Caenorhabditis elegans: one gene and its partners. The protein of the gene in region 3 binds, or shares a complex with, the protein of the main gene of each other region. Each region holds a gene or a part of one and is shown on either strand. Other genes may lie near its edges.

Region 1 (10,301 bases), about 13 Mb from region 3:
GAATCCCGAATACTCAAAAAAAAACAAAAAAGTTTGTCAGTTGGTAGAATTGAACCAACTACCAAAATATCCGCAGACATACGCACTAACCACCCGGCCATGCGGGAGAAATCTCAAACTGGAAGTAAGGAAGGTAAATTTCTGGAGGGAGTCGTCTTTCGATTCCGCTTTCTTCAATTATAACTATTTGGGGAAAGACGTTCGAAAACCGTTTATCACTGATAAGTCAGCGGAAAACCTAATTTTTGAAAATTTTATTACAGCATTGTACTCATTATTGATTTCCCAAAAAGGAGACGTACAGTTGAGGGCTATATCTTGTACACAGACAGATGTATAGAAAAAAACAAGTTTTGGCCTGAAAATTAATAAAATGAATATCTCTTGGCAGAGTATTTCTAATGCGACGAAACTTCATCTTCCATTAAATAAAATCAAAAACTATGAATCAAAAATACATTCCGCAAAACTTTAGTGGAAAAAATGTTCAGGAGACCCAGGAAACCACTCCCCCCAGTACTAAATTTTTGAATTATTTTTTTCTTGAAAAATTTTCCCACTGAACTTTTTACAAATTTTATATGTCTCGATGCGTCTTGATGAGACCTACACGTCATTTTTTAGAAAACTAAGAAAAATTGAAAACTGACCGAGTTATGATTGAAAAAGTAGATTCGCAAAAATGGCAAAGTGTGCAAAATTTGGCACTTATTCGTCTTGCTCGGCCGACTCATAGAACTTTTTCCAATTCTGAGTTAAAAATCGTGTTCAGCGTACTTTTGTACGTGGGGTAAACAAAAAAAATATCAAAAAAGATGAAGTAGAACTTGAGATAAAGACGAAAAACTACTTTTTCGGAAAAAAATTTTTTTTTGGCAAAATGTCATTTTTTGGCCATTTGTTTTATCACAACTTTTTTCCATTTGCACTTATAATCTCAAACTTTTTTTCAAAAAATCCACCTCTCTGAGTAGTATCTTGCACATAAATTTGGAACAAAACCGAGCAAAACCCGAATTTTAATTCAATTAAAACATGGTTTTTTGGGGGTAAAAAGAACAACAAAAATTTTTTTCAAACTGGGGAAAGCCGCCCTGAGCTCAGTTTTGCTCCAAACTTTGTGCAGTTTTTTGCTCCACCGTGGGGCAAAATATTTCTAGTAAGCTGTCAAATATTATAAAATTCAGTCAAACGGCTCTGGAGTTATTAATGAAAACGTAGTGTGACATTTTTTCGCAAGCCAAAAAAAACGCGAAAAAACGCGAAAAAGGGGCGGAGTCTGTACACTCGGCATTTATTAGAGGCTGCTTGGCAGAATTTCTAAACAAAAACCTTTAAAAAATCAATATTACATTCCAACTAACCCGTATCTTGTGATTCATTGAGGCTTCGGTCTGCTTCTCCCTCTCAATTCTAGCCAAACATGTTTTCATAGCCTTGCATTCAGCGAATATACTTTTCATAGTGTCTTTCATGGCGAATCTTGCGTAGGATTCGAACGTGTCGAATATATTCTCCCCAACACGGATCTGGAAAGCTACAAAAAATTCGAAGACAAAAAACTATTTTTTTCTTTTAATTCGACACTTAACTGATGAAGGAGGGCGTTGTCAGAGTCCCATTTCGGTTTGATCTACGCAGATCTACAAAAATGCGGGAGTTGAGACGCAGAGTTCTAAAATGATTTCGCATGGTCAGGAACGTGCTGACGTCACATTTTTCTGGGCGAAAAATTCCCGCATTTTTTGTAGATCAAACCGTAATGGGACAGCCTGGCACCATGTGTGGTAGGCTTGGTGTAGGCATAGCATTAAAATCATAAAAAATCATCTCACCTCGGTAATCTCATCCAAGTCATTGTAGTCGAACTCTACACCCATAAATTTGCACAAATGCTTCTTGGTAACCGAATTTTGGAGCAAACGATACTCTCGCCGTCCCAGAATACTTGTAACCAATCCCATCGCAGAAAATCGAGTGAAAATGAGAAAAAAAAAGTGAAGTCGACCAAATTTTATATGCGCCTCTAATTGTTTTTCTCAGAATTTGGCAGGGGGTGTCGTATATGAATTTGGATACTGTACAAAATTGGGTGAAAAATTATAAATATGCCGTTTTTGTGCATCTTCTAATTGTTATTGTCTACATGACTAGAAATTGTGATGAATAGAAAAAAAAGGGAACAATTTAATAATAATTCAGATTTTTAAAGGGTTATATGTATATCTTCCTAATAGTAAGTTCATTTTAATATATCATTTTTATAAATTAAAGTTATTCGACGCAAAAAACGGCGAAAATCGAGGCTTAAACTGCAAAAACAATTATTCGAAATGCTCTGTGACGTCACAAAATTTCAAAAAATATTTTCACGCTTTTCTGGCGCAGTAGAGCGATGGGACAGTCTGGCGCCACATGTCGGTGAACATTGGGTTACTGTAGCTCCAAAAGTATGTAAGTACTGTGGCAACACCAAATTTGACGACAAAATGCTGAAAATTTGTAAAATCACCAATGACGCTAAATTAGAATTTCGTATCGAAAATTTAAAAAAAATCAAATTTTGTAAAATTCCACCATAAAAAAAAATTAAATTCAAAATTTTTTGGACCAAATCTTTTTTCCTTAAAACGCGCCCAAACCTGGCTAAACTGCAATTATCAGTAGAGCGCGTTTACACTGATGTACCCTTTGCCGGGCCGTGTTTCAGCTAAATTCTGCTTTCTTTGTTAATAGAGCGCATTTGCTGTAAGCGGGAAATTTGAAATTCCCTCTTGAAAATATGACTTTTTTAATCATTTTTTCGCGGTGTTTTCGAGCTTTTCTTTCGAAAAATCCCGGATTTTCAATTGAAAAGGAGATTTTCTACTGAAAATGACTGGTATACTCCGATTTTTTACATTTTTCACGAGTTGAAAAGTTTACAGTCATTTATGAAAATTCAGTGTTCAAAAAGTGTCTCAAAAACCTATTCAGCTACTCAATATCCCAGTAATTCCACGTCATTATACAATTTATATCATAAAATAAATTCAAATCAAATATATGTTCAAGTGGAGGAGGAGAAGGAAAGTACTCGGATTTTTGGTGGGATGCCAACTGGTTGGAAACGTATGTAAATGTGAAATGCTACAGGAACACCGAGAACAAAATATGTGTGTGGGTCACGGAAAGCTGCTAGATAACGGGGAGAAATGACGACGATATGGTGAATAGGAGAGAGAAAATTGGAATACCCAAAAAACAAATAGACACAGGAAAACAGGGGAAAATTTGATAAAATCGACCGAAAATTAGGAAAAAAAACGACAAAAATTTGAGAAAATCAACCGAAGTTTAGCAAGAATTTTCCCAATTTTCAGGCAAAATTTCCACCGAAAAGCAGTTATTCCTCATCAGTGACATCGGAATCTTCATCGTCTGATTCATGTTTCATAAGCTTCCACACATCCTGCGGTGGACGCAAAAAGCCAATCACAACAGACACGTTGTCGGCACTTCCAGCCTCAATCGCTTTTGTACAGATGAAACGGGAGAGCTCCGCGTAGTCTGAAAAAATTTTTTTTCGATTTTTAAAGAATTTTCTACATTAAAAAATAAAGTAACGTCGGCTAATGTTTTTTACCTTAAAAATAATTTTGAATGGTTTTTTTAAAAATTGATTTTTTCAAATTTTAGTAAATTACCCGATTTTCTTTTTTAAAAATACAATAATTCGAAAATCTTTACTTTTTTTTTTGAAAACCCCCGAAAAATAGCCAATCTTCTGATTTTTTTTCAGAAAAAAAAAACGAAAAAATAGTTTTTGGCTTTGGAAATTTAGTTTTTCTCCAAGAATTTTTATTAACCTTCAACAGGATAATCATTCGCAAATGCCTCCACCAACTGGTACAGGTCACGCTCGTTGAAAACATCAGAAATTCCATCACAAGCCAGGAGCACCAGATAATCCGAGCTTTCAATAGGCACCTGACACGTTTCCGGTTCATTAGAGATCATCGGCCGTCCAGGAACATCTCCGAGTGCTCGGGTGAGATTTAGAACTCCGTTCACCCGCAATTCGCCTCCAATCACAAAAAGCTGGCCGCCAGCTTCCTCAACACGCCGAGCTTCCCGTTCATCGGATGGCGAGTGTCCACGTGTCAACTGACGGAATTCAATGTTCGACATGACGTATCCGGGTGAGTCACCGAGCCACGCCAGCGCCATAAGCTTCTGATCCATGTCGATTGCACAGCAGACAGCTGTACTTCCACCCTTCCAACACTCTTTCACACTTCTGACAGTCATTCGTTCGTCGAGAAGCTCCAGCGACTTGCGAAGCTGATCTTCGAGGCTATCTGAAGGATCTCGCGATTTTCGAACCTCCAACCATGTCTCCCAAAGGTGCCCGGCTGCGTACTGAGAGCACTCGTGACCACCGTGACCATCGAACACCGCTAACACCGAAATTGGATCCTAAAAATTTCATTTTTCAGTAATTTTCCAGGCCTAAAATCCTCCTAAACCTCTCCACGATCCATATATTGCCCATTAGGATACGCCAAAAACCGATCTTCTTGCTTGTGACGTTGCCCTTTCAGTTGATCGCCCGACACGTGGATTCCAGACCACTTTTCAGACAGAATCGGGCACGTTTCGGCGTTTTGCTGGAGAATCTTGTCGATCGCCGGCCAAATTTTGTCGTTGAATAGCTTTTTGGCTTCTGAAAATAAGTTGTATTGATGAACAGAAGTGTTGAGTTTTTGAAGATTTTTTAAAAATTCTATTTAACAAGTTTTATTTTTGCAAAAATTAGCAGATCAATGGGGAATGGCCAGCTAAAAATATTTAGCAGACCAATGAGGATAGGTCTGCTAAATATTTAGCAGACTCATGGTAGGTATGCTAAATATTTAGCAGACCCATAGGTGGTCTGCTAAATAATTAGCAGACCCATAGTTGGTCTGCTAAATAATTAGCAGACCAATGGGGATGGGTCTGCTAAATATTTAGCAGACCCAAGTTAGGTATGCTAAATATTTAGCAGACCAATGGGGATAGGCCTGCTGAATATTTAGCAGGCCCATGCTTGGTCTGCTAAATTAATAGCAGATTTTGCACATTTAATAATTACCTGTGGTACTATCGGTAACATAAATATCAGGATTATACTGAACATCTCTGAACGCAACTTCACTGAATTTCTCGTCAATTTCTGTGGCGATCAAGTGAGACACCCAGTGACAAAAGTCGACCGCCTGGCCTCTTTTCATCATTTTCTGGAAAATGTCGTGAATCGCGTCTCCGAAAACATCATGAACTGGTCCGGCGATTGGTGGATGACGGAAACGTATTGGAATATGCGGTTGTGGAGTGTCGGCAACCTCGACGTCATAGCTAGTTTTCTCCATTTCATCTGCAAATGCCTCCTCCAGAAGTGACCGGACACTTCGACGGCGATCGCCGATGTGATCCTGGAATATACATTTTTCTAACTAGCATTAAATATATAAAATCCCGTTTTCTACCTCGAAAACCGCATCCCGCTCCTCGTTTACTTTTTCCATGTATTTTTCCAGTTTTAAAACCACTACCGGCTTCGGTGGGACAGCTGGGTTGATCTGACATTTCAATAATTGTTTTTAACATAAAAATCAGAGAAAAACCGAGAAAAAACAATGGATTTCAACACAAAATGAGGAAAAATCAACAAAAAAATAATGCAGAATTTTCTGCACCAGAAACGCGCAAAGCTTCTCGTTTGCGCACTTTCGGTGCGTTGGCGCGTTTCTCGCGCGAAATATTAATTTAATTCGCATTGTATTGTATTAATAACATTTTTATCAAATCAAAAATGGATCAAAAATTTAAAATAAAAATCAATTATTCATATATATCCATGCGCGCCAAGATAATCCCACTCCACATTCGGCGTCTGTACTTGGCTGTCCAAAAGATCCCATTCCTTCACTTTCGCCCTCTCCGCCCAATTACATGCTTCATATTTGTGGATATATGTCTCCTTGAAATGCTCCCATAGCTCATTTGCCACGCGATACTGAAACTCCACGTGGCATCGGAATTCAGCGGGGTCGGCTCTAAGCTTGGGTAGCGAGTTGTAAGCTTGAACTGCGGCATTTTTTCTCAACTGGGCGTACTTATCGATTTTCCACGTGGTTAGTAAGAAGAAGTCCTTGTAAAGAATAAGAAGAGTATCGATGATTTCACCGGTTTCCTGGAAAAATCGCAGATTTTTCTTGAGTTAACTCAAACGCCATTGAAGGCCGCCTACCTCATCCTCAGCACCCAAATTCTGAAGTTCCCTGCATTTTCTCCGAATCTCGTACAACGTTTTTTTATACTTGTCGCGAACCTCGTTGTTCTCTACTTCAATGACTCGTTGTCCGGCGGGAAGCTGAATTCATTAATTCAGTTCTTGATAAATGTAATTTTGAAAAAAATATGTTTAAAAAACCTCGGCAACGTCAATTCTACCGTTATTCGAGAGGGTGATCGGTGTGCGCTTGTAGATTTCCTAAAAATTTATAAATTTGAGAAAATCCGTGCCCGTGATTAAGAATATTCTCACCTCAAAAATATCCGGTTTTTTGATAATCTCGTTACTTTTCGAGTAAAGTACACAGGGGCGTTCAACATTTTCCTCCTCGGGATTCACAGAGATTTTGACCTGAAAATTTCTTGAGCTTAGGTATAGGCATACGTTTAGGTATTGTCAAAGGCATAGACTTAGAAATTGGCATAGACTTAGGCGTAGGCTTTGGCTGAGGCCTAGGCTGAGTCTTAGGCTTTGGCTGAGTCTTAGGCTTAGGTGTGAGCTTAGTCTTAGGCTAACCTTTAGGCTTAAGCTTAGGTGTAGGCTTAGGTTTAGGCCTAGGCTTATGCGTAGGCTTAGGCTTGTGTCTCCAGGCATAGGCTTAGGTTTAGACTTAAGCTTAGATTTGTTTTTTTTTTCGAAGGTTTCTCAGCAAAAAAGATTGAAAACATAAGACTCTGAAAAAAAAACGAAAAATATTACCTTTGGGTCCCGTTCAGCAATACGTGGGCTCTCTTTCACCGCAACTGGGCCTGCCAGCTGATAGACGCTGGAAATATTATCTGTAGCTGAATCTACAGTGCACAGGGTTCCAAGACATTGCCCCATTATCGGTTGTGACAGGGAAATAGAGGATTACTTGGCGAAGGCTCAACTTGGTAGGCCGCCTAATTTACAGTACCCCACGACTGCCTTGTTTTCGACTAGTCCGGGTTATTTTTAAATTTTGTTGGAAAAACAACAAGAAAATTGTACAATTTCATGAATTTCGCTGGCCTGGTGAGTACTGTAAATTATGCAAAGTGATGGAAAATAAATATTGAACGAATTTTTTTCGAGCCGGGGAAACTTAGAGAATTAGTTTTCTAGCCTTCAAATCATGTTCCTGGGGTTTTTTTCCAAATTGTTTTTCTCAAAAATTTGTAAGATTAACACTTTTCATTTAAAAGCAATAATGATTTCTGAAAACCTGACACAAAAAGTTTTTGGTAACTGGGAAAAAACATGGGAACGTTGATGATAACAATTTGAGATCCAAAAAGAATTCTCGGGTGTGTGGAGGGGAAAAAAAGAAAAACACTCAAAAATGTCTGCACATTTTGAGTGCAAAAGAGCAAAAAAGCAACAAAAAAATAAAATTTTTAACATGAAATTTAAGAAATCTGCAATTCTCCTTCGACGACATCCTTCAAGCTGAGAATCTCCAATCTTCCGTGTCCCTTCGTCTCATTTCGGACCAAATCGTCCAAAGCTCTGAACGATCCGGGCTCAATGAGCCCAACCATCTCGAGGCTTCCATCCTGCCAATCGTCAACTTCCACGTCACTGAATAGGGTTTTAAGCTTCGTGTGCACGGATTTCGCTTCTTTTGTCGGAATCGCCACACGGATCTTCATCTTGGCTCGTTCGATTTTCAGAGTTTCACGAAGTTTTGGAATTGCGTCGAGAGCCTGCTGCTTTGAGGAACGATTCGGTTTCAGGGAAAAGTGCATTTCTTGTAGAGCTTTATCGATTACTGACGGTGGAACTGGACGCTTCGTTTCAGGATTTACGACCATTGAGGCAATCAGCTGGGATACCTGGAAAATTGAGATTTTTCAGGATTTTTTTGAAGAAAAATTAAAAATTTTCAGGAACTTGTTTGGGAGAAAATTAAGATTTTTTAGGAATTTTTAGAAAAAATTGGGATTTTTCAGGAATTTTTTTGGAGGAAAATTGAAATTTTTTAGGAATTTTTTAGGAATTTTTTAGAGGAAAATTGAGATTTTTCAGGAATTTTTTTGGATGAAAATTCACATTTTTCAAGAATTTTTTTATATAAAAATTGAGATTTTTAAAGGATTTTTTTTTTGGAGGAAAATTAAGATTTATCAGGAATTTTTTTTGAAGGAAAATTGAGATTTTTCAGGAATTTTTTGGATGAAAAATTACATTTTTCAGGAATTTTTTTGACGAAAATTGAGATTTTTCAGGATTTTTTTTGAAGAAAAATTGAGATTTTTCAGGATTTTTTTTGGAGGAAAATTTACATTTTTCAGGAGAAAAAAACTACCTAATTTTTTAAAAATTTAAAGAAAAAAACAGGTTTTTAGCCTGGAATCTAAAATTTTTTCATTTTTTGCTACGTGGCAAGTTGTACCTCTTTCAGCGATTGATCTGAAGCCGCCTGACGCTCTTTTTCCGACACTTGCAAGTCTCCTTTGTCGAGAATCTGAAATTTAGGAAATATTGTCTTTTTCTACCTATTTTGAATAAATTTATTCAACTTTTTAGATGACAAATAACACTAATTACACCAAATTTTAGGCCAAAATGTTTTTTAATCTGAAAAAAAAACTTTAAAATTTCTTTTTTTCCAGAAAATCCAAGTTTTCCTTACAATTTTACAAATTTCCAACTGATCCTCGATTCCAAAAGCGGCGATAAGCTCCTCTTTCTTGGAAAGTTGTCCTTTTGAGACATTTGAGAAGACTGTATGGGTTTGGAGCACCTCGTCAATGTCTTTTTCGCTGAAAATTTTTTTAGATTTTTGGGAAATTGTTTAAATTGATTTTTGATATGGTAAATATTAATTCCAAAAAATAATATTTGAACAAAATTATTCAAAAGGTTAATTTAGAAACAACTGTTTTTTTATTTATCACTGAGAAAATGGTTTGAGAATTAAAATTTTCAGATTTCTATATGATTTTTTTAAAAATTAATATATATTTTACCTCTTATTTCTCCAATTAACAACTTTATTCTTGTAACAAGCGATTTCAAATCGTTTTCCGGTTTTCTTCATTCGAACCACTGCCACATTGGTCAGAACTTTCTGATTTGTCGGCGTTTTGATATTTTTTGACATTTTTTTTCGGCTGAAATTTTAAGAGATTTTGGCATTTTTAATTTTAAAACAAAAGAGACCATTTTGAGATATAAAAATAGATTTGAAACTACTTTTTTTTCAAATGTCGAAAAAAAATTTTAATCTAAATTTTCATTTTAACGGAGAATCTGAATTTTTTTAAACTTTAAAGTCGATAAATCAAATAAAAAAGAGATAAAACCAGTCGTTGAGGTGAGAAGAATGGGTGTTTTTCGGGGTCGTAGCGTCGAAAAAACGAAAAATCGGATTCGAATTTAGTTAAAATTGGGTCTAAATGACTGAAAATTCGGTATATAAGAATAATTGGAAAATTTTCGATAAAATTCAAATTTTCTGAGATTCAAAAAAATTCGAAAAAGCTCACATTAGTTTCAGAAATGAGAATTTTCATGTTTTTTTTCGGAAAAGTAGATATATTTTTCAAAATTTTAAAGAATTTCAGTATATTTGATATTTTCCGAATAATTTTCAAGCCAATTTTCAGTCATTTAAGCCTGGTAGACTAGATTCGATTTGAAAAAAAAAAAAACTAAAAACCCTGAATAAAGCATTGGGGGAAGTGGTGGTGGTGATGACAATCGGGAAATATATACAAAAATAGACAGAAATACGGAAAAATCAGGTCAAATGGAAGAACAAAAAAAGTACAAATTTGTTTGGAAACAGTGGGCGAAAATGCGAAATTTTTCGAAAAATGTGCAAAATTTCGCAATTTCCGGATGGGGACTAATCGGGAAGATTTAAGGCGGGTTTAGGCAAAGTTTTCAATTCGAGCACATATTCGGTCAGGCGGTCTGAGGGCTCCGTTGGGCGCCGAGCCAGGGACCAGTGGAGGCCCAATTTGTGATAAAGGCTAACATTCTCGTGGTCCAGACATTTTTCCAGCGCTAAGAC
Region 2 (10,571 bases), on a different chromosome or scaffold from region 3:
TAGACCATAATACCGATCGAAGACAAAAAAGTTTTTTTTTGAAATCTCGAAGCATTTTTAATATTTTCCGTGAATTACATACTTACTAGTATACTAAAAATAAAAAGTTTTAAACAGTTCCCAGCGTTATATGCAAATGTGAGCGCGGTGACAGTGACAAAATTCTAAATTGAACACATTTAATTTATGCGTCAGTCACTTACAGATACACATATGACTAATAGTGATTGGAGAAAAGTATGTTTATAAATGTAATACAATACTCATTCAGCTGTTGTCGAGAGAACTTTTTATTGATGAGCTGTTTTTCGGAGTTTAAGTTACTAAAAAGGAATACAAATTAAATATTGAAGCTCGTCTAACAGGACTATTACATGAAGCTTCAAATCTAATGTTTGTAGTTTCTATTAACTTTTTAAAAAAACATTCATACTTTTTTGCATCAAGTCACGATTTAACAATGATTTCCCACACATATGTAAAATCATTACAAACATAAATTGTGGGAGAAGCCTAAATACCACAAACCGTACGCGACCATCAGGATTTTTATTTCTGAATAATATGCAATAGAAACAAATTTCCTCGGGAATTATTACCAAGTCTCTGAGTAGCAAAGAAATTTTCTGAAGATGTAATCACGTATGTAAATATGTACAATGTTATCAATCGTTTTCGCTTTTTGTTATCATCAATCACTCTATTTCTCCATCTCTCTGACTAATACAACAAGGTTTACAATAACTGAGAGAAGTAGGTTTTCAGTGATTTTTTAGATGGGTGAAGCTGAATATAAGTACAAAAAACAACAATTATTCTCATTCAGCAAGTTATCAACAGTGTTACGGCCATATCATCTTTCTTAATCCACGTTAGAAACTTTATGAATAAAATCTGAATAATTTCTAAGGTTGATGTAAAAGCTGGCAAAGAAATTGTGGAGAATTTCTGAGTTTCAGAGCATTTTAATAGAGTAAACAATTGTTTTTAATTAATTTAAAGTACGCTTAACTACTGTGAAAGATGTAATTGTATAAAATGAAAAGACCAAACGTTTAGTATATGAGTAATGTTTTCTCCTTGTAATAGTATATTTTTGAACTAAAAAAATATACACTCCGAAATGATAGAGTACCGTAATCAAAAACCCTATGAACAATTTGAAAATACTATGATTTAAAGTTTTGGCAACTTAACAAATTTTTGAAATTTGGAGTTTTCTGATCGCCCTTACATTACCTTACACTCTAATCTACACTGGAAAATTATTTTAAAAATAATTTAAAATAAACTTCGTTTAAACGTCTTTTTTTTTAGTTTTTCAAAAATTTCAAAGTATTGAGTATTCATAGTTCGTACTTTTGACTTATAATAAAATGTATTTTTAATATTCCAAAGGTGTTTTCTTTGATATTCTTGCTATAAATTTCCCCACTGTCGCTACTCCAAATCTAATGTGAACAGTACACATGCTAAAGTAGAAAAATAAAAACCATTTCAAGAAAGTTCAAAATCTCATCAAAACTCAAAAAAAAGGATCGCTCGAGTGTATTTTGATGATTGATTATGGGTCAAGTGGATTTCTCGGCGGAAACGAAGAAAGAGTGGAACAGGATGATGAAAATAAATTTGCAAAGAAAAAATAGAGAGACAGAGCTCTGTTTTTGCAAACAATTTGAATGATTTCACTATAAATTTGTAGTTTTTAAATGAAAGAACAAGAGTAAGCAATGAAGAAGAAGCATAATAATCACATTTGAAACGGAAAGAAAACAGTTTTATGGGCACCATCAAATGACAAAAGAGATAAATAAATGAACGTTCGCATCCCTAATTGGCACTTCTTTTCAGTGTGTGTTTGATCACGTACCGCCTAAAAACGATTGAAATGGGCATTTCCATTTGACTGACGAAGGGATGATATGGGAACTAATATATTTCTATCGACACCTCCTTTTTTGGTTTGATTCATTTTAATGTTTTTTAAAAATAATTTTGAACAAATATAATAATGAAATTACTTTGTTTACGAGGAGATTTTAGCTTTACCGTTTGTTCGCCGTTCAATATGATTTCTTTTTAAATACACGAAACACGGGTGTTCTAGCTTTTGATGTTTTTATTAGGTACAAAATTATAAGTTATGAAAACATGAGAACAAACAAGTAAAATTTGGATTAAATTAAATTATTAGGCTTTTGACATATACACATCGAGCTCCGCATCCAACTCTTCGAGTGTCTTCTTTGGTTGAGCTTCTCTCTTTGGCTTCTTGGCCTTCAATTTCTTTTGAGCTCCAGCCCCTCCTGTTGGTTTTCCTGATTTAACATTCTGCCTTTTTGGTGCTCTTTGAGCTGGTCTTCCATTTGATGGAGCTCTTCTTGGAGCTTCTGGGAACTTGACACGGTTTGCAATATTTGCTGAATCAATGATAGCGAATTTGATCTCCTTTCCGTCGAGTGAGACTCCGGCAAACTTTTGGATGAGACGATCAGCGTGACGTTTTGGGAGAGTCACATCTCCGGTTCCTACTGGTTTTCCGTGCTCGTTGAAGTTCACGGAGACGTTTCGAATTTTGAATTCAGCGAAGAGTTGACGAAGGTCCCCGGAGTGAACGGTGTGGGCCAAGTTTGACAAGTTGATACGTACTTCACGGTTTTCTGGAAATGTTAACCATAACTTAAGAGCAAAATGGCATTTATAACTTACCATTTGCTGGAATAGATCTGTCAACTGTTCTGATTCCTCCACTTTGGCGTCTTGGTTGCGCAGTTGGTCTTCTTGATGGTCCAGCAGTTCCAGTGGAGAATCTCTTTTTAACTCCACCAACTGATGCTCTTTTGATTGGACTTTTCTTTGTTCTTCTGATTCCAGCGGAAAGTGGAGCATCGATAGCAATAGCACGAGCCATTTTGATAGAAGTTCTCTGAAATTTGATTCATAAATAATTGATTGAAGGCAATGAATGTAGAAAGCTGAGATGTAACATTGAAAGAGGGTGAGCAAATGGCAATAAGAGAACTAATATAGTCAATTGACTATTGTTGTACATAAATTAAAATAATGAAATGGAAAAGAGACCAAGTCGGCGGAATGAATGATTGACTCTGTGTGGGATATTCTCTGAGAATGGGGAAATAGGTAAACGCAGCGTTTGGAAGTGAAGACTTTTCAATCGATAGACTAGGTGGATGGAGTATCTGGAGATGGCTACTTGGAACTTCGGAGAAGATGGGAAAGGTCGTTTATCAAATTGGCAGAGATAGTATTATTTTAATTAGAATAGGTAGGTGACATCAAAAAATAAAACACAGAAATTACCAATTTGGGGGAGTTGTTGAAGATTGATTATTAAATTCGTAGTTTCTTTATAAAGTGCTCGATTCTTATCAAGAGGAACTTGGACATCAAAATTTAAAGATTGTAAATTATAAAGTTTAGAAAAATCTAGCCTGTATAATTTTTCTTAGTTTAGCAAAGCTTTAAAAATATATACAAAAGATTGGTAAAATGCGACTTACTTTAGAACTACAGAGAATTTCATATAACTATAATACATTGGAAAAGCAAAAAAAACCATAAATAAATGAAATATGTTATGACCATCTCGGTAAATGAATGATAGAATGAATTAATGCATATAGATCGAGCATCCATTAAAAACAGATCGTTGTTAAAAAGGCGGGACTGGTGCTGTGGAGGAAAGGGTGACGATCTTGGGATTGTTAAGAAAGTTGGCAGATGATGTATCGAATGGGAAAATACGAGTTTTCTAGCACACGCGAATATGTGTAATGTATATCAGTTGAATAGAAATTCAAATTATATTCATGTGGAATTGTATCGATATGTATCCTTTTCAGCATGACTTTTGTACTTTTTTATTCAGAATGACAAAAAAATATTAAAAATTGAAGGAAAGATGCTACATTATGAAATTGATGGTTATATTGGAAAAATATAACTTTCGAAATATTTTACCAATTGAGTCGTAGTAGACTAATTGCCAAATAGTGGGTTTTTTGTAGTTCGGCTTCTAGCAATGAGCAATAAACGTTAAATCAACTGAAAATTACACAAAAACTCGTAAAAGCAACTGGAACTCTTAGTGTTTCATTCGAAATGTTTCGAATGCCACACCCGTACACATTTGAATGAGTGTAAACCAACTGCGCACTCAACAGATGCTATTGTTTGTCTACCAGAGCGCACTTGCGTAGCGTCTAACCAATTGTAAGCAGCTTAATCGATATTATCTATACCTTTATTTTAAATTAAACAAATCTTAAAACAAATTAAAGTGATATGGAACCAGCTTTTTTTAGCAGTGTACCATTATGACATTTTTCAAAATGTAAACCAGAGGATTCGAAAGTGAATGACACAAGAAGCGTTAGTGAGATAGAAGGCAAATCGGTGATATTAAATAGGAAATCTGGGTAAAATATAGAGAGTTAGACTTTCAAATGAAATAATATTAAAATTAAAAGCAAATCATTATAACAATTGATATCATCGTTTCCTGGAGCAATCAGTAGCATAAACATTCATAATCCGAACATCATCAGAATAATGAACTTCATAGAAACGATTTTGATATTCTTCAATATCTTTTTTTCTTTTAATTGTTTCATAATAACCAGATACATCTAGAGGTGAGTAGCGAGAGATTTCAAACGGCGAAATTTGTAACTGTAGACGGGAAATTGAGAAATCATCAATTGCCAAGTCGAATATGATGTCTTCTGAAATTAGAACAAAACATAGTTGTGAAAGAAATTTTTTAATCGAAAAAGTTTCAGAATGGACTCTTTTTAAATGTGGAGAATTTAGTAATACCGAAAACGTGATTTTTTAAAAATTTTTGCTAACATCCGGGTTTGAATTCAATACAAAAAAATGCCAAAATCGAAAAAGCATGTTTTCAAACGATGGATTTTTTATGTCGATTTTTTGTCTTTCTGTTGTAGAATTTAGAAATTTGCGACTATGAAAACAAAAATTCCCTTTACGCTATTCGACTTTTGATGATTTTTTAAAGTTTCGCTTTAAAAAAATTGTGTTTTATATTTTGAAAAACATGTCATGTATATACTTTTAAATTATTTTAACAATAAATTCCTACCAACATTCTCCATGGCTAAACGATAGTGCTCAATACGTGGAAGCCCTCCAAATCCAGTTATGTCGCACCAAATCGTTGTGTGATATACAATCTACAAATGTAAAATAGTTTTTAACGCTTAAAAGCTTTAAATTAATATATGAGTACATAAATAACATTTTTAAAATGCTTACTTCCAAAATGCAGAGCTTCGCAAGCCAATCCAAAACCGTAATAATCTCATTTTCCAGTGGTGGCATTCCAAGTGCTTCATGAAATCTTCGAGCATAAAACTTTGAGAACTCTGTGCCACGTGGAACCACAAACGTAGTATGATACTTGGATTCATCTTCGTTCCAAAAATATTCGGGTGGATAAAAAGCGGCGATATTTTGAACAAGGCGTTGACCACGGGTAGCAGCGTAATTATACATTTGGGAATTGTTCCAAAACTGTGGCATTCCCGGAATATTGAAATAGAGTGTATGAAGAAGAGACGTGTAGTGATTGGAAAAGGCCGTACAATTCGGATCCGGATTGGGCTGGAATTAGGATTTTAAAAAAAGTAAAATACAAACGGAAATGCGCCGTTGAAGAGTACTGGAATTTCAAGATTTTGTTTTTGTTAAATTTTCACCGGTTTTTACATGTTTTCCTGATTTCTTAAAATCCCTGTTTTTTTTTGGTAATTGCGTAATTTTAGTTTTTTAATTAAAACAATTTTCCGAAAAACTAAGAAAATTCCGCAGCGACGAAAGTTTAAAATTACAGTACTTATTAAAGGCACACACCCGTTTTTATTTAACTAAAAATTGTCGTGTCGAGTCGGATATCCCTTTTTTGGTTCAAAAATCGAAAAAAAAATCGGGTAAGTAGAGCTTGTTTTAATTTATGATAAAACAAGGAAACTCACTAAAAATTGTCGAAAATACATGTAAAACCGAAATTCATCGCGATGAATCAAATCTTGCAACTCGAATCGAGTTATTTGACTGAAAATTAAAATTTTATTTTATAAAATTTCAGATTCGCCTCACACTTTCCCGTTCCGCCTTGCCAAATCATACATAAAATTGCAATAAGTTACAATTGTCTTCATTGTTCTTTGAAAAACGAATCGAGTAATTTCATCATTCCTTTCATATCCAGCACCGGCTGTTATTAATTGAATTGAAGTAATTTCAAGAAATCGATCAATTGAAAATTCATCCCAAGGATTTTGATCGAGAAGACTATCATCATAATACGTAGCTCCTGTCAATCGTTGTCTTTGTAAAGGAATTCCAGATATTAAAGGCCAATTGAGATCATCTACTGTTAAATTAGTCACTCCACAGTACTCGTCGAATCTTCTCATTTGTGCACGGAATTTGACATTTCTTCTGAAAACCTAGTTTTTGATCATTTTAGTTTGACTGGATGTGAATTAAAGAATTTAAAACAATTTCAACAAAAAAAAACATTAAAAAATTTAACTTACTTTAATTTTAGTTTCTGAGCTCTCGTTTCTCTGTCAGCTTCTACATCATCTGAACCCGGATCCACCTCCATTACAGTTACAATTGAAATAAATGGAAATCTCTCTTATTTTTACATTGAAATTTCTTGCTGGTCACTTCTTCCAATCCACCGTAGTTAACCGACTGGGTGGTCTACTACCCGTTTCTGGTTTTCTCTGCACTCTCTTCGGAGAGAGTGCAGACAAAATTCTCCGCGTTCGCAGTCCTGGTTCTGTTTCGAGACGTTGACGTCGCCCGACACCACTCCTACAACTGTTCGGACAGCGTCTGCAATTTTCGATTAGTAATATAGTTTTGGTTGTGAATATAATATAAATTGTGAAAAATTGCATTGAGAATTAGGAAAAGAGCATGTGAGAAGAGGAGGGGAATTTTTAGAATAACTGAGAATATAATTTAGAGAAACACGATTACTTCGCATCAATTCAGAATATCTTTTAAAATCTGAGAAATTTTGGTTAAAAAATAACACAGGGCGCTTAGTTTGTGGTTTTCTCAATTCTGTTTAATTTTTAAAACAGTAATTCTTATTTCGATAAACTAAAATGAATATGAAATTTTCTTACGATTAAAAAATGCATGAAACCAGATATAACAAATTGAAGGAAAACTGAAAAACTTCAGAAAGTGTTTTTTTCTGAAAATAAAAGCAGAAAAATTCGAAGCTCGCGCAAAGAACGTAAACGCGCTCCATTGCTAACTCATTTGAACATTAGTTTTTTTCATTGGGCTTTCAATCTTGTAAGTGATGTTTAGGCATCTAAAAGTTTTATAAATTGACAAAATCCAGCTTAAAAGATGCTATCAAAAACTAACTTTTCAGAATATTTATTTGGCTAATGTTTGACCCATACGTTTTTTGCCGAAAAGAATTTCAAAAATGAAAAGTATCTTGAAATGCATCAAAATCCGGGAATATTGCCGATGGTCAGTTTTTCAGCATTTCTAAATTGAGAGACTGAAATGGGAATTTATTTATTTTTATTCATCTGCTTTTTTATTTCATGAATATCCGCATCTGAAATCAGCTTTTTTTTTCAGGAAAATTGATTGAAAGAAGACAATAACAGCTCGTTGTTCAACATCTCGATTCTTCCATATGAATCGATGAATGGAAAAACCGTGGCATTTGGTAAAGTTTTGGCTGGAACCGAAGTTGTCTCCCGCATCGCCTTCAATAAATCAAACACGAAGGGTTCCAAGGCTTGCGTCATCACCGACTGTGGAGAAGTTATCTGAAAGGTTTTATCATAGATTTTCAAATTTTTTGGTTTATTATTATTTCTTTCTTTTTGTTCCGATAAGTCCATATATGAAATTTGTCCAGTTTTTATGAAAATAAACATTTATTTTATTTAATATTTTTTTATTCATCATATGCATGGGGGTTATCATCCTCGCTGTACTTCTGGCTTCGGCGACGGTGATCGCTTGGCTGCTCTACAAACACTTGAGAATGCGTCAAGCTTTGAAGGTTTGATTTCAAAATAAATTTATGAATAACTTCAATAAATTTTCAGCATCTCAATCAGCCACGATCATACCCAATCATCGGTCACGGACTCATCACCAAGCCAGATCCAGAGGGATTCATGAACCAAGTGATTGGAATGGGATATTTATATCCAGATCCACGAATGTGTCTTCTGTGGATTGGTCCATTCCCATGCCTGATGCTCTACTCTGGCGACCTTGTTGAAGCAATTTTCTCGTCGACGAAACATCTGAACAGGGTTCGCATACGTTTTGCTTGAACCATGGCTTGGAATCAGTATTTTGACGAGCCAGAAAGAACAATGGCGTCTTTTTTTGATTTTCTTTTATTGAAGATTTTGGTTCAGAAATTGTGTTGCCTTGGTGCAGAGTGAGAATTTCAATTTATAATTACTTATTTCAAATGTTTATTTTCAGTGAAAGAGTTGATGTTCTCTCCGTTATCGCCCTTTGTACTCTTGATATCATCTGCGAAACTTCCATGGGAATAGCTATCGGCGCTCAACTCGCTGAGGTTTGGGAAAACAACTCTAATCTCAACATTTCTAAATACTTTTTCAGAATAACGAGTATGTATGGGCAGTGCACACAATCAATAAACTGATTTCAAAGCGAACAAATAATCCTTTGATGTGGAATTCATTTATTTACAATTTGTACGGTAGTTTTATCATTAATAAGGTCAATTAATTTGTATTTTTAGAACAGAGGACGGACGGACGCATGAAAAATGTCTTCATATTTTCCATGATTTTACGAAGAAATTGATTGGCGAGAGAAAATAAGCACTACAGGAGAATGATTATAAGATGGAAGGTCGTCTCGCATTCCTGGATCTTCTTCTCGAAATGGTAAACAGTGGACAAATGGACGAAACAGATGTTCAAGCAGAAGGTAACACATTCATGTTAGAGGGTCACGATACAACATCTACAGGATTAATGTGGGCAGTTCATCTTCTGGGAAATCATCCCGACGTTCAGAGAAAAGTTCAAGCGGAACTGGATGAAGTAATGGGCGACGATGAAGATGTGACTATTGAACATCTCTCCAGAATGAAATATCTTGAATGTGCATTGAAAGAAGCTCTGCGTCTCTTTCCATCTGTTTTAATTATTACGAGAGAACTGAGTGATGATCAAGTAATTGGAGGCTTTAATATTCCAAAAGGAGTCACTTTTCTGCTCAACCTGTACCTTGTTCACCGCGATCCTGCTCAATGGAAGGATCCTGATGTTTTCGATCCGGATCGTTTCCATCCTGAAAACTCAATTGGTCGAAAATCATTCGCCTTTATCCCATTCTCAGCTGGAAGCCGTAATTGCATCGGTCAACGTTTTGCACTTATGGAAGAGAAGGTCATCATGGCTCATTTGTTGAGAAATTTCAATATAAAAGCTGTCGAGTTGATGCACGAGGTGAAAATTGAAAGCGCCGCTGATTGGGGAGACTTGCATTTTTTGTATGATTAAGCAATTTAAGCTGTATCCAATATATTGAAAATTATCGCGATGTCTATTTTCTCGCTGAAATGTTTCATTTTGCAATTTTAAATTGCTCTCATAAATAGGCACTATTGAAAATAGAATATAGAAAGTTTTACTTTTTATTTTGAATTTAAAAAATGTTTCTTCTAATGTAAAATTTTTTTCAGTCACAACAAAAGTAAACTTTTTCATATTACGTTTTTTTTTTGAAAGAAATTGTTAATTGCAAAATGAGAAAATTCTAGCGAAGAAATAGATAAATTACAATAGTTTTCAATTTTTTGGATAAAAAAAGCTTAATTAGCCTTTTTTATCCCCATTGGGGATTCCCCAATCGACGGTACTTTGAAAATATAACATGTAAAAATTAAATTTTAACTAAAATTGTTCAGGTCCGTCCAAAAATGGAGATCATCGTTCGCCCGGTCACTCCAATCCACATGAAGCTCACCAGACGCCGTCCCATCGCCTCTCCATGATTTCGAAATAATTTGGAAATTTGAAAATAGCCAGTTTTATAGTATTATTCGAGATTATGTTTTTATTGCATGATAAATTGGAAATTGCTTTTTTCAAGAGAAATCATCAACATGCAAAGGAAATGATCCATCCGGGTCATGAAGTATTATTCAAGTAAATAACATTTTTGAAAACTAAAATTTTTTACAAAACATTTATTACAAAAATTGGACTAATCAAAACGGTAGACATTAATGAGGTAATCATGCATTCCATCCGGCAATTCAATACAAACTTCGAACATCTTCAATTCATTTCTTTTCATCGGAATGTTCATATTCCAACCAAAAAATGAACCAGTCAATGTAACGGAATCTACAGTAGTCGGTTTTTCGTCTGTCCAACGGAACAACACCTTCTGTTGTCCACCTTTGACAAGGATGCTTCCACTGCATTCATTTTCAGATTCAGCAAATAAATGTGAATCTGGAAAAAAGACAATGAATC
Region 3 (12,157 bases):
GTATACAGAAAAGTTTTCGACTATAGCCAGGGGCCTCCCAAAAAGTTCCAGTAGAAAATAGAGAGTGTCCACATGGAGGGTCCCGAGCCGCCCGAGAACAAGAGCATGGGGGGAGGGAGTGGGGGCCGTATCTTTTACTCTGCGTCTCTTTCGTTACTTTGTCCGTCCGCTTGCTCCGAGAAGATGGTGCAGAGAAAATAAAGCAGTTGTGCTGTCCAGTGGCGTCCGGCAGCTCCGAGGCGCGGGAAGCGAGCGCAAAAATAGGGATAGGAGGAGGGGAAGGCTTCTGTTATGGGAACAACATATTGTGTGTGTATGTACGAATTTGGGTTGATATTTTCTTTGGGCATTCTTTGGTATGTGGGAGTTAAATACTCATACTTACAGAACTGTAACCGCAATATGGATTTCAAAATATGTGCTACCAAAAGTATAAATATTGGGCAGATTCAGAAAAATAGCCATATTATCCGACCAAAGTAACATTTAATAAAGTCTGTGATCCTCATAACGTTGAGATTGTATGTGCCATAAAACCCGTGGTAAATTTCGATTTTGATTGATCATCGACATGGTGCAGGGAAGTGAGAAACTTTTTAATCGTACGCAATTAAGCTTTGCATTACTTGGCATACTGTCGAGTACTAAATTTGTTGCCAATGTTGGCAGCGTTGGCAGAAAGAATTTTTTATTCCGGGAGTTTTTTTCCAAATGTTTGATTATGAGCAACTTTTAAAATAATATCTCATGGTAACCACGGGAATAACCTTAAAATACGTATACGTTGCAAACATATTTTTATAATTCCTTTTGTTGTTGGATGCTTTTTAAAGTTGCATGGCTTTGCTCATGGTGCATCGGAATCCAAGCATTTGGAAAGAATTTCAAATCAAATGCACTGCTAACTTAAACTTTGAGTAGATGTGGGTGAAAACAGTCAAAGAAATTAATTTCGTCATACATCGTTTTTTTCTGAATTCACAAAAATTTGAACCGATGTAATGCAACCTAGTGATAATCTGAAAAATTAAACTTTGAATTTTCACCAAAAATTTCCTTTTCCAAAGCGGCCGTTAAAAAAATTCGCTGGCCGAGCTTTCTTCAACTTTTTCAAAACCAAATAGCAAAAAACTGTAGCTTTGCATCGATTTCTACCTACAAACTCCCCATTCTCCACACGAAAGGGGTGTCTGGGAACAGATGGCTGAAAGGGAAAATGTGCGTGTAATTTATGAATGAACAACATGCACACTCATAGTAGAAAATGAAACATTTTGGTTGGCGACCAGGTTTTTGAAAAATTTTGTGAAATTTTATGTGTGGGGAGGGGATGATAAATTTGGTAGAAAAATGGAAATTGGCATAAGAAATGGAAAACAGGTGAGCGAACCAATTTGAATAGATTTTAGATTTTAAATTGAAAGATTCGAAATGTTTGGGTGAAAGGGAGTTATAAGGAGCATGTAATACCAATTTAAAATAGAATTCCTTAAAACTCTGACTTTTCAAAAATTAAGGTAAGATATTTATATTTCAAATTTTAAAGCGAAGTTTGCCCATCTGCATTTAAATTTGAAAAAAAAACGTGTAAAACACATTTTGATGCACCATGGAAATAGTTCTTATATGCGCCTCAAAAATATTGTCGGAAAAATATGAAATCTTGGAAAAGGTTTATAAAACGCAAACGTGGGACCCTGGTATTTTGTACGGTATTTCCATGGTAATTTCGCAAATTTTTTAATGGTTGTAGAAAGGAGAAATAGATATTTAAAAAATAAGCCTTTTGCCGATTTAACTAATAGTAAAAACAACTCGGTGAATGCCAAAGTTGGAGAAATCGAGAAAATTCAAAAAATTAGTTTTATTATATAGTTTTGCAAAATGAAATCTTTGGGGAAAAGTTTTCCGATTCGAAAACTGATGCAAATTTTTTTCAAGTTTTTAATAAAAAAGATCTCGAATTTTCAAAATATTTCCAAACGTCATATGCCACAAACATTGTAATGCAGTCGAAAATAAAATTTAGGTACACCGACAAAATCCAGATTATGAAAATGTTGAAAAATCAATAATTATTAAAATACTCAAAGAAAAGTTATATATTTTTAAAATTCAAACAATAGATAATTCAAAAAAAATTGCCAAATCATTGGAAATTTTCGGCAATTTTTTTTTCAAAAATATATGTACAACTACTAGAAAAAGTAACGTGATTAAAAGTGTAGAAAGAAGAAATACCATGAAAGCGGGGAAGTTCCAGGACCTCCACCACCATTAGTTTTCGCATTTCGTTTAAAAAAATCGAAAATCCTGATAGGAAAAGGGAAATGCTTATGAGAAGAGAAATTCGAGGAGGGAGATGGAAAGTGAAGAAATTGCTGGAGAAAGTAAAAACAGAAATGAAAGTGACACTGAACAACACGAGACACACTTACTGTCCCGGATAACGATCCAATCGACCAGGAACCTTTTTTTTTGACAACACATTTGTTGGAAGAGTTTTTAAAACTTTAAATTTATTAAATAAAATTCAACGACACAACCAGGTGTGCGCGGCAATCAGAAATGTTCGGCAATTTTCAAAACTAGTTATATTTCGGAAATTGAAAAAAAAATGTCACCTTGTATTTTAGTATTCGGTTTGTCATTTTCGAAAACAAAACTGTCAATCCTTACAATTAGATTAAATCATTTTGAGCTTGAAAAGAGATAATTGTTCAGTAAAATGCGTGTTTAGGCTCTTACATCTATAAAAAGTTTCAAACTTACAGTTCGGGCAATTCTGATTTTCGTAAATCGGCAATTTCAGCAATTGCCGAAAATTCGTTTACCGTACGGCAATTGACACGTACCCCTGGGCATAACAATAGTTTTCTTTGCCAAAAAAATTGATTTTTTTTGAATATTTTGAAATAAAAAACATGGTATTTACACAAAGTTTTGTGCGGAAAATTTGCCTCATTTGCCGTTTGACGATCTTGGCAAATTTGCCAAATTTGCCAAATTTGCCGGGCACGGCGTTCAATTTTGAGCAAAACAATAGATTTTGTTCCCAAAGTTTAGTAAAATAACATAAAATGCACGGCAAATTTGCCAATTTCGCCCTGCTCGGCCAATTTTCAGATTTGCCCCACATGCCTGCTGTAAACACTAGGCTAATACATAGTAAGGTTGACAAGTTAAATGACAAGCAATCCGCACATCTTGGTTTTTTTGAGTTTCTAAATCCAAAGTGTCCGATTATAAACTAAAAAGCCAATGAATGGGAGCAGCCTATTTTGAGAAAAACACAGGATTTGCTGTATACAGTTATTACGGGAACAATAAATCATGAGAATGCGTATGTGGAGCATTTTATTTGTCATATCTCTTAGCGAAGACTACAGTAAGAACTTAAATAACAATAGTTATTTGAGTTCTTACTGTAGTTTTCGCTAAGTGATATCGATATAAAAAAATAAAATGCTCCACGTACGCATTCTCATGATTTATTGTTCTCGTAATAGTACCGCAGATTTGAGCGGAGCCTGTTTTCAGATTTAAAAAAAGCTTGCTAACGATACCTTTTTACAATTCACTCAGTTAGAGATAAGAAAAGAACTCGTCCATATTTATATTGGTTCTTGAAAAGCCAAGACACTGGCGAAGTTTATTTACAGGAAAAACGTCTGTAAAATTTTTTTAAAGCTTATTTTTATCGATTTTCAAAGTATTTTTGCTACAAATCAATTTACTCAAAAATGAAAGAAATGCAAGAAAAAACAGTGCTATATAAAACTATGGGGAAAAAGTCAGTAAGCACTCTTGATTGGGGGAGTCATCACTGCTCTTTCTCTGCGTCTCTTATTGACCATCTGCCTCTCTTTTTCTCTCCCTCTCAGTTTTTGACCGAAAATAGCGGTGGTGATGATAAGAGACGTAGGCATCCAGAGAGAACTGTACATACGTCACCACGCGGTTTTCAACTTTTTTTTGTTACTTTTATATCTCTGACGGAATTCGTGTAGGCGGCTGGGCAATTTCTAGAAAATTCACGCAACAAAAAAACGACTGACATTTCAGCAAAGAGACTTCATGGAAAGTTAGTTCGGGGGCCTCTGATTTGTGGAAGTAAATATATTGATATAAAACTAGAGTTTGCTGAAAACGTGAAAGTTTGACTTCAAAATTGAAAGAGCCCTCTAAAAATCCACGCGGCAGCCTTGTATGAGGGACTCCGTCAAAATTCCACAAACTTGCATCCCCGGAGTTTGTTTGCCATAAAATCACAAAGCTTTTGAGGCTGAGACATAATATTTAAAATTCTAATAAACTTTAGAGATATAAAGTGGTCCCCCCACTGTAAATACGATTAAAAACTTCACGAATCATTGTCTTTCGAATTCACGTATCAAAAACTATGCTTTGTTAAAAAAATGAATAAAAATCATATTTATCCAATAAAAAGACGAATTCTCCAGTGTTGTTCTTCGAGAAGCATCACTTCATTTCTCCGCAGTCAGCAATGACGCACGGAGCCGACGGTGCCCCATCTTCGGATCCTTTCGACTCGATCGCCTTCACCACATCCATTCCTTCGATCACTTTGCCGAAAACCACGTGTTTTCCGTCTAGCCACGTGGTTTTGACTGTGCACAGGAAGAATTGCGAGCCGTTTGTGTTCGCCCCACAGTTTGCCTGAAAAATCAATAGTCAATTCCAGAGCGCATAAAATTTCAGAAAGCCCGATATTCACAAAAATTTCAAAGAAAATTTGATCAAATATCGACAATAACAGAAAAATCGATAACTTGAGTAAATATAATATCGATTTTTTAGTTTTTCAGAATCTTCACCATCGACAAGACTCCGGGTCCGGTATGCTTCTCCTTGAAGTTCTCGTCGTCAAACTTCTCGCCATGAATCGATTCTCCGCCGGTGCCGTTTCCCTCCGTAAAATCGCCGCCCTGGATCATAAACTCGGGGATGATGCGATGAAATTTGGATCCTTTAAAGTGCAACTTCTTGCCCGATTTCCCTTTTCCTTTCTCGCCGGTGCACAGAGCGCGGAAGTTTTCCGCTGTCTTCGGCACGATGTCGTTGTAGAGCTGCAACGACAGGTTTTAAAAATCTTTAGTTTATTGATTTTTAAATGTTGCCAAAATCTAGTAACTTCCTGAAAAGTCGAAAAACTGGCAAATTTCTGCAAGACCATTGAAAAAGATTTTACAATCATCCTAAAAACCGATAACAGAACGACAAAAATCGATAAATGGCAACAAAAAATTATATCGATTTTCTCAATTTATACTCATTAAAGTGCAAACTGACATACCACTAGCGCCTACAGTAATCATATTTGCTCCGAGAACCTAACGCTGCCCCCCTTACCTCCATAACGATGCGTCCTCCCTTCTTTCCGCCAATCGTGATATCGAAGAACACTTTGACACGTGGCATCGCTGATCGATTCTTTTCGCAGTAATAAATTTAAAACTACCGACGTTCAAATTTTCCATTATGACTTGCCACGTGCCGTAAGAGTGTCGTGGATCAAAGTTCAAGTTCAAAAACGTGAAAATTTAAATGAAACAAAATTGGAATTTTGGGAAGGATAATTGTCTACTTTATCGTAATCATAGAGATTCCGGAGAAAAAATAGTTGCTTGAGGAGGGAGGATAGAACACAAAAAAAAGACAAATATAGTACATATACATTTTCAAGGAGAGGCTACGGACTGGTTGGTTTTATAGGCAAATAGCCGTTTGTCGGGAGTAACAGAGAATTTCCCGCGATTTTCAGTTTTTGAGGGCTCCAAAAGTATAAAAATAGGTATTCCAATAAACAGTTTGATGATTCCCCGTTGCGCAGCTCCAGCAAAAAATGATATAAAATATGTAAGATGAGGGGCGAGGGGATTTACTTTCAGTACAGTTCAATTTGGAAAAAAAGCAATCATTGTTAGAAAATCTTGAAAAATAAAATTATAGTGGGGATTTTGAATGGCATGTTTCAGAGTCATTTACACAGTGTAAATTTTAAATTTTAGTTTTTTGCCTCTCAGGGAAAAAACACGCAAATAGGGGGAGAGAATTAGGCCAAATATTGATACTCGTCATTTTGATCGGTTCGCTGAATATACATTTTCTCGATAAGGTCCTCAATGCTCTTTTTGATGAATGGTACGTCGGGCGAGAAGCGGCCTTTCGTTTGGTCCATTATCTGCAAGAAAATGTTGTTTTCCGCATTTTTGATGTGGAATAGCACATTTTGCAAAAAGATTTTTTTCGCTTTTTTTTGGGGGGTTCCGGACCAAAAACTGTTTCTAAAATTGTTTGTTTTTCTTTTTTGGAGGAAAATCCACTTTTTGATTTTCAGTTTCTTGGTTCAAAATTCAAACAAAAATATTTTTGTAAAGCATTTTCAGTCGGTTGAATATCTCGTTTTACAGGGTTTTGACCAACAACAAAAATCTAACAAACCTCAGTGACAAGTGCATTGTGTTTCAGAACCTTCCTGGTCTTCATAATTCTGACAATTGCGCACTCCATATAGTACTTTCGGTCTTGTGAAACCTGGAACTAATATTGACGATTGCGAGGCACACGTGTTTGGATAATCTAGCTGCATCGAGGCGGGGCCTAACTAAATACGTCTAGTCTCTCAGAATTCTAGGCCACAGTTTATAGCTTTGATTTAGGCTCATTGGCTCAAAAAGGGAGCAGATAAATTGTTTAATTGATTGAATTGACTCAAAGTTTCCACAAAAGACCAAATTTCATAGTGAGACATTTAAAAAAATTTTACGAAGGTTTAAAATTTCGAAAAAACACCTAAACTCTTTATTAAAGATTTTTCAGCATTTGAGATTTTAGTTGAGCTTGGCTTGTTTTAATTTCCACCGTCATAAAAATGCTGAGAATTTTTCAAGGTGTCTCATTTTAAAACTTGGTTTTTGAGATCGTTTAAAAATTTTTAAAGTCTAGGACTAAATAAAATACAGATTTTTAGTGCTTGAACTCAAAAAGTCATAACTTGAGGCCCTCGCCAATGAAAAACAAACTGAAAACCCTACAGTATTCGCGACGGCCTCCTGCTCCTTCTCGACAGCCTTATTCACTTGTGGCGCCTGAAGCCGGAACTTCATCCGTTTCGACGTCATCGACATGTTCAGACGAACCAACGAGTCGGCCGTTAGATTCTGATCATCACACGTCAGCAGGGTAACGTCCAAAATCGTTCGAATCGTCTTTAGCAGATAGTCACCGCTCACACCAATCTCCTCTCCGATGTCCTTAACGAGGATAGCATCGCGACGTTCAAAGCAAAGCAGCGCTGCCATCTGATAGACATACATCTGTGCGACATACTGCTTATCGAGGTATGTAAGCCTGACATCTCCCTGTGACATATTGAAAAGCCATGTCAGTTTTCGCCCGTTGTGCTTCCCAGTGTAGAACTTCTCAAACTCCTGAATCACAGGCTGCAGGATACGTGGCAGATGGAAGTTGGCCACGTCTTGTGCGGTCTGATTATTCGAATTCGTAGAGAGCTGTGGAGCGTTGAGCGGCCAGCTACCTGCCTGCAGAATCATCGTCTGTGTCGGCACAAACTTCACGTCGGGCTGCACAGTTTTAATGTCCGCAATGTGCTTATCAAAGTTGTTCGATAGCTCCTGGCTAAGCCCGATATCGGTGAACATTCGTGACAGTTTACTGGTGAATTCATAACCACACGCCTGTTTCAACTTGTTAATCATCAGCTCCTCGGCGTCCATCGATATCGATGTGCTTGCTATAAGCCGATTTGCGAGCATTTTCGAGTAGAACTTCTGGAATATATCCTTATCCTCTATATAGCGGAAAATCACAATTGCACTGTCGAGTTTCGCCTCCAAATCCGTCTCCGATAGTCCTTTCGTGGACTTTTTGAGCAACCCATCCGTATATCTCGCCAACCGCTCACTGGCCTTCGGCACCGACTGTCCTGGCTCCTTCGAGTTCACGACTCCCTGCAACGCCTTGTCGAGTCCACTAGAGAACTCGCCATCGTCCATGAACACAGCAGTCTTCATATCATTGAACTTGTTATACACCCGTAACACATTCTCCACAAATTGCTGGGGTACATTCTCGCCGGTGAGCCTCGACACCGCCTCGAGCCCCTTCTTCTTCACATATTCCTCGAACTCCTTAACCATTACCGAGAGTCCCGCTTGAATGGGCTTCAACAGTCTGTACATGTTGCGGAGGTCCTTGTTCTCCTCATTAGTAATGAGATCATGGCACACTGCGTGAAGTTTATCCTTGTGAGCTTTTATCATAACTTTCTGGCACAACGTGATAACTTTCTCCACCGACGATTCGTGGAGATACTTCTTCGCACGCATCTCTTCTTGTTCGAGGAGCACTATAACCTGTTCCATGTACTCACTGCAGCTGAGGTCGGTGAGCATTTTTTGTGCGAGCGCCGAATAGTACTGTTCCGTATCCGTAAGAAGCGGTTTCTCAAAGCTCTCCTGATAGAACGCCGTTGTCGACTCGCGAGCCTTATAGCGTGCTCCTTCTGCCGGTACAACGTCGAAATCCGTCTCCTCCATCTTAACGAAGCTGTTAATGACGCCGGAGACTTCATTGGCGATATGCGGGAAGTTTCCTTTCCGATCATTGTCAATCGCGATGAGCAGAAGTTTGACGAGCTGCGGGAGAATGGTCTTCACGAGGTCTTCTTTCCAGATTTCTAGTGCGAGCTGAAAATTTCGATTTGTTTTTTTGGTTCAAAACTTCTCAATTATTTAATAGTTATTTTCCAGGAACACAAAATTTTGAAAAAGCGCACTGTGGTCTTAACTGATAATCATCGGCCACGGAAGTCATCTCCGTGGCCTAGGATTTTATTTCCACCCACTTTTTCGTCGAAAACATAAAGAAATTTCTAAAAACCTGGCGCAATTTTTTTGTCGCAAACTCACACATCCGATCTCCTTGACGTCTGGAATCTGCAGAAAAGCGGCGTACTGCGCGAAATTGTCCAAATCGGTGCATCGCTTCTGTTTTACGAATTGTTTGTTCAGGTATCTGTAAATAATGTTTTTTTTTAATTCTCTTTTTTTTGGGTATTTTTCAATTCTTTTTCTTCTACAACGACGCAGTGAAAACGTTTCACAAAAATGCATTTTGGAGCATTTTCAGATCATTGTTTGAATTTTAAAAAGAATTCCGAAGAAATTTCACACGAACCCAAAGAGACGGTGAATAAAGATGGCTCCCTCATGGAAAACTCTCCACATTTTGTGATATTCCTGAAGCAACAGATCCGGATCAACATCGACGATATCTTGACGCTTTTGTCGAACATGCTCTTGAATGCAAGCCTTCACCTGTAAAAATGGAAATCTTGTAGTCTCATCACCAAATTCGCTAGAAAATCCTTTTTTATAGTAGAATCCGAAGAAAAAAGTAGAATTTTAATTTTTTTTTTCGGTTTTCGTCGAAAACGTCAAATTCGAGATACCTCATTATACAATCGCTCGCTCAATGGAGTCGGTATCGATACACAAATGTCGTAGACGTCACTGAAAACAATATTTAAAAAAATTAAAAATTTATAAAAATCCAGCTTTTCGTATCGTAAAGTTGTGATTCTTGACATTTTTCTTTGGAAAGTACAAAAATCTTTTTTTTTTTCAAAAATTCTCATGTTTTTTTCCCAGAAATGGATTTTGTTCAAAAAATACTACCAAAATGGTTTTAAAAAGTATGTTTAAGAGGTTATAAGATCATCAATCCGATTTTGCAACAATGTTTTTTTAAATCGATTTTTCGGATAATCCTGAATTAATCGGAAAATAAGTGAATGTTAGTGTTTTGGAGCAATTTTTTACAATTCTTGGAATAATGATTGAGTTTTTCAGTGAATTATACACGTGAAATAAAAAAAAATAGTTTTGTCAAAAAATTTTCGGATTTTGTGGACAAAATCCTCGAAAAACTTTTTTTCTCTGTCAAAAATCGAATTTAGGATTGTTGCTTACAAACAACGCGATTGCTGAAAATAACTTCAAAAATTGATTTTTTAAAACATAACATTTTTACAAAATCGGATTAATAACAAAAAGGTAATTTTTGCCTTATATATAAATAGTTTTTGCACAAAAACTTTAGATATTGGCCAAAAATCAAGACATTTTTGAACAAAAAATCCCAAAAAATCTTTTTTTTCAAATTAAAAATTCGAAAAATCTGTTGAATGACAGAAATGATACTTTCTGAAATTTCTATCACTGGAAAAAATCAAACTTTTCCTTCAAAACTTACCTAAACTTGTGATGCCACTGAACATTGGTGATCGGCCGCAAATTGATGATATCAATGATAGATGGTCTCAACTGCACCCATACTTTGTCAAATTCCACAACTTTTGGCTTCAGTGAGTACATAACCTGTGGACGAGGTGGACGACTGAAAATGATGACAATTTGTGCGAAATTTTCAAAAAAAAATAACGGGTACCGTAAGGAAACTTTTGTGGAACTTGCCATTTTTACGGAAAAAGCGAAAATTTTTGAAATGCGGATTAAAAAACTAAACACGAAAATTTAATTGATAAAAAGAATCACGTGATTTTAATTATTCTTTCTTTTTTTAATTCGTTCAATTATTTAATATTCAAACCGAAAAATGAGAAACCAGGGGTCATAAACCAAATAATATCGATCGATGCGCAGCAGACGCACTCACATTTTCTTCAATATCGGCTCAACGACGGGAAAATTGTCGTCAGAAATTGCCTTACGGCGGCCAAGTGTCGTACGATTCGATGTCGGCTGTGTATTCGACGCCAGTTTTGCCTGTGGACGGTGAACCTCGGACCGGTTTCCTGTGGAGGTTACACTGAAGATTTTCGGGGATATGGTGGAGAAGCTGAAATTTGATTTTTAGAGAAGATATATTGAAAAGAGATAACAAACGTTAAAAATATATTGAACGTCATATGTTAGAAGTTGGCAATGACAATGAAAAATGTGACATGTGAGAAAAGGAGGATTTTAAAAAGGAAATCTGTTTAGAACAAAAATTAAGAATAATTTTCTGAAGTCTAAAATTTAAAATTAAATTAATATTTGAAGTTATTAAAGGTGGAGTCGTTTTGGAATTTGATTATAAAGTTTTCTCTAAAAATTTTAATATTGAAAAATTAAAAAAAAGAATACCCTTTTGGCATTTTTGTGCATTTTTTGGCTAAACTTGGAATAAATGGCCAAAAACCAAAATAAAATCGGAGCAGTGCTACAGTACTAATTAAAAAAACTACTGTAGTTTTCGCTATGAGATACTTCTCAAAATTTAGTGTACCCGTAATGCTCTCCCATTACAAATGTATTTGCCCCAGATGTGTAAATGAATAATTTTATCAAATATTTTTGTTCGATATTCACATAAAAAGATGAAATTGCGGTTTGTTTTTTTTTCTCGAGAATCCAGAAAATTCTACTAATTGTCATTATTCCCAAACCGGGAATGATCAAATCCCCTCTTCCACTTCCCCTGTTCTTTCCTCAATTTGCGTGCTCAACACACACTGTGTAGCCCGGTTACCAAGGCAACAACTCCCCAAAGGCTCGGGTAGCTCAATGATTTGTACTTCATTTTTTGTAACCATTATTTGTAGGCTCGTGACATAAGTGACAAATCATAGGGGAGCAGTGGCAAACGTCGAAAACAACGGAGATCTTCATTCATATAAATGTCATTAAAGGTAATTCCGTGTACTCTCACAAAAAATCAGGAAGTATTTAAATGTGTTTCTGCTCAGCTTCAATATCGAAGAGGCGAAGAAGAGCACGGAAGTGGACCGATTATTCATCGATGGAGACCAAATGGGCATACTGTAGCTGTTGCATGGTTTGTTTATTTTTTGTTTAATTCTTATTTTTAACAGTATCTTTTTTAAAGATTTTTCTTTAAAATATTCAAAATTCAAAAACTCCAAAAAAGACGAAAAAAATCGAGAAAGAATTTAAAGCCAACTTTTAGAAGTAGGATTTTCAATTTTGGCTAATTGTCCTGTTTGATTTTTTTTCCAAAATGGGAGCTTCATGACCAATGCGTTTGCAAAGACCTTGATTGGTTTGAAAATGGGTGGAGCCAATCGCTGATTGTTCAGATTTTTGAA

Evidence for each region.
Region 1: cul-2 (region 3) and fem-2 share a complex: the UniProt entries of both Caenorhabditis elegans proteins name them as parts of the CBC(fem-1) E3 ubiquitin-protein ligase complex.
Region 2: cul-2 (region 3) and fem-3 share a complex: the UniProt entries of both Caenorhabditis elegans proteins name them as parts of the E3 ubiquitin-protein ligase complex.

The regions. Positions count from the first base shown.
Region 1 is NC_003281.10:629,024-639,324, forward strand, and holds fem-2 (Protein phosphatase fem-2), read right to left. Parts: upstream 5,604-10,301; 5' UTR 5,550-5,603; coding exon 5,511-5,549; intron 5,457-5,510; coding exon 5,117-5,456; intron 4,706-5,116; coding exon 4,509-4,705; intron 4,459-4,508; coding exon 3,849-4,458; intron 3,550-3,848; coding exon 3,386-3,549; 3' UTR 2,996-3,385; downstream 1-2,995. Other genes in the region: T19C3.6 (uncharacterized protein), read right to left, coding at 1,365-1,529, 1,836-1,964; eakr-4 (EAK-4 Related), read right to left, coding at 5,870-6,217, 6,275-6,397, 6,458-6,517, 6,572-6,670, 7,019-7,144; sbds-1 (Ribosome maturation protein SBDS), read right to left, coding at 7,690-8,115, 8,676-8,747, 8,916-9,045, 9,253-9,386; tag-266 (Golgin subfamily A member 7/ERF4 domain-containing protein), read right to left, coding at 10,134-10,301. UniProt on the Caenorhabditis elegans protein: Dephosphorylates auto-phosphorylated Ca(2+)/calmodulin-dependent protein kinase unc-43/CAMKII in vitro. Involved in the regulation of sex determination.
Region 2 is NC_003282.8:9,101,286-9,111,856, reverse strand, and holds fem-3 (Sex-determination protein fem-3), read right to left. Parts: upstream 6,892-10,571; 5' UTR 6,656-6,891; coding exon 6,585-6,655; intron 6,495-6,584; exon of another isoform or gene 6,487-6,494; coding exon 6,142-6,486; intron 6,097-6,141; coding exon 6,018-6,096; intron 5,647-6,017; coding exon 5,299-5,646; intron 5,217-5,298; coding exon 5,126-5,216; intron 4,746-5,125; coding exon 4,513-4,745; 3' UTR 4,250-4,512; downstream 1-4,249. Other genes in the region: aly-1 (Chromatin target of PRMT1 protein C-terminal domain-containing protein), read right to left, coding at 2,191-2,660, 2,710-2,911; C01F6.14 (Ovule protein), read left to right, coding at 7,736-7,960; gldi-10 (AMP-activated protein kinase glycogen-binding domain-containing protein), read right to left, coding at 10,297-10,550. UniProt on the Caenorhabditis elegans protein: Required for male development. In XO (male) animals, fem-3 directs male differentiation in all tissues. In XX (hermaphrodite) animals, it specifies the first 80 or so germ cells to be sperm. Negatively regulates male development when bound to tra-2.
Region 3 is NC_003281.10:13,686,017-13,698,173, reverse strand, and holds cul-2 (Cullin-2), read right to left. Parts: upstream 10,524-12,157; coding exon 10,495-10,523; intron 10,444-10,494; coding exon 10,300-10,443; intron 9,558-10,299; coding exon 9,497-9,557; intron 9,363-9,496; coding exon 9,223-9,362; intron 9,061-9,222; coding exon 8,955-9,060; intron 8,733-8,954; coding exon 7,059-8,732; intron 6,565-7,058; coding exon of another isoform or gene 6,559-6,564; coding exon 6,466-6,558; intron 6,206-6,465; coding exon 6,077-6,205; downstream 1-6,076. Other genes in the region: cyn-2 (Peptidyl-prolyl cis-trans isomerase 2), read right to left, coding at 4,483-4,680, 4,839-5,090, 5,374-5,442; WD repeat-containing protein dyf-2, read left to right, coding at 11,729-11,740, 11,798-11,886. UniProt on the Caenorhabditis elegans protein: Core component of multiple cullin-RING-based CBC (Cul2-ElonginB-ElonginC) E3 ubiquitin-protein ligase complexes which mediate the ubiquitination and subsequent proteasomal degradation of target proteins.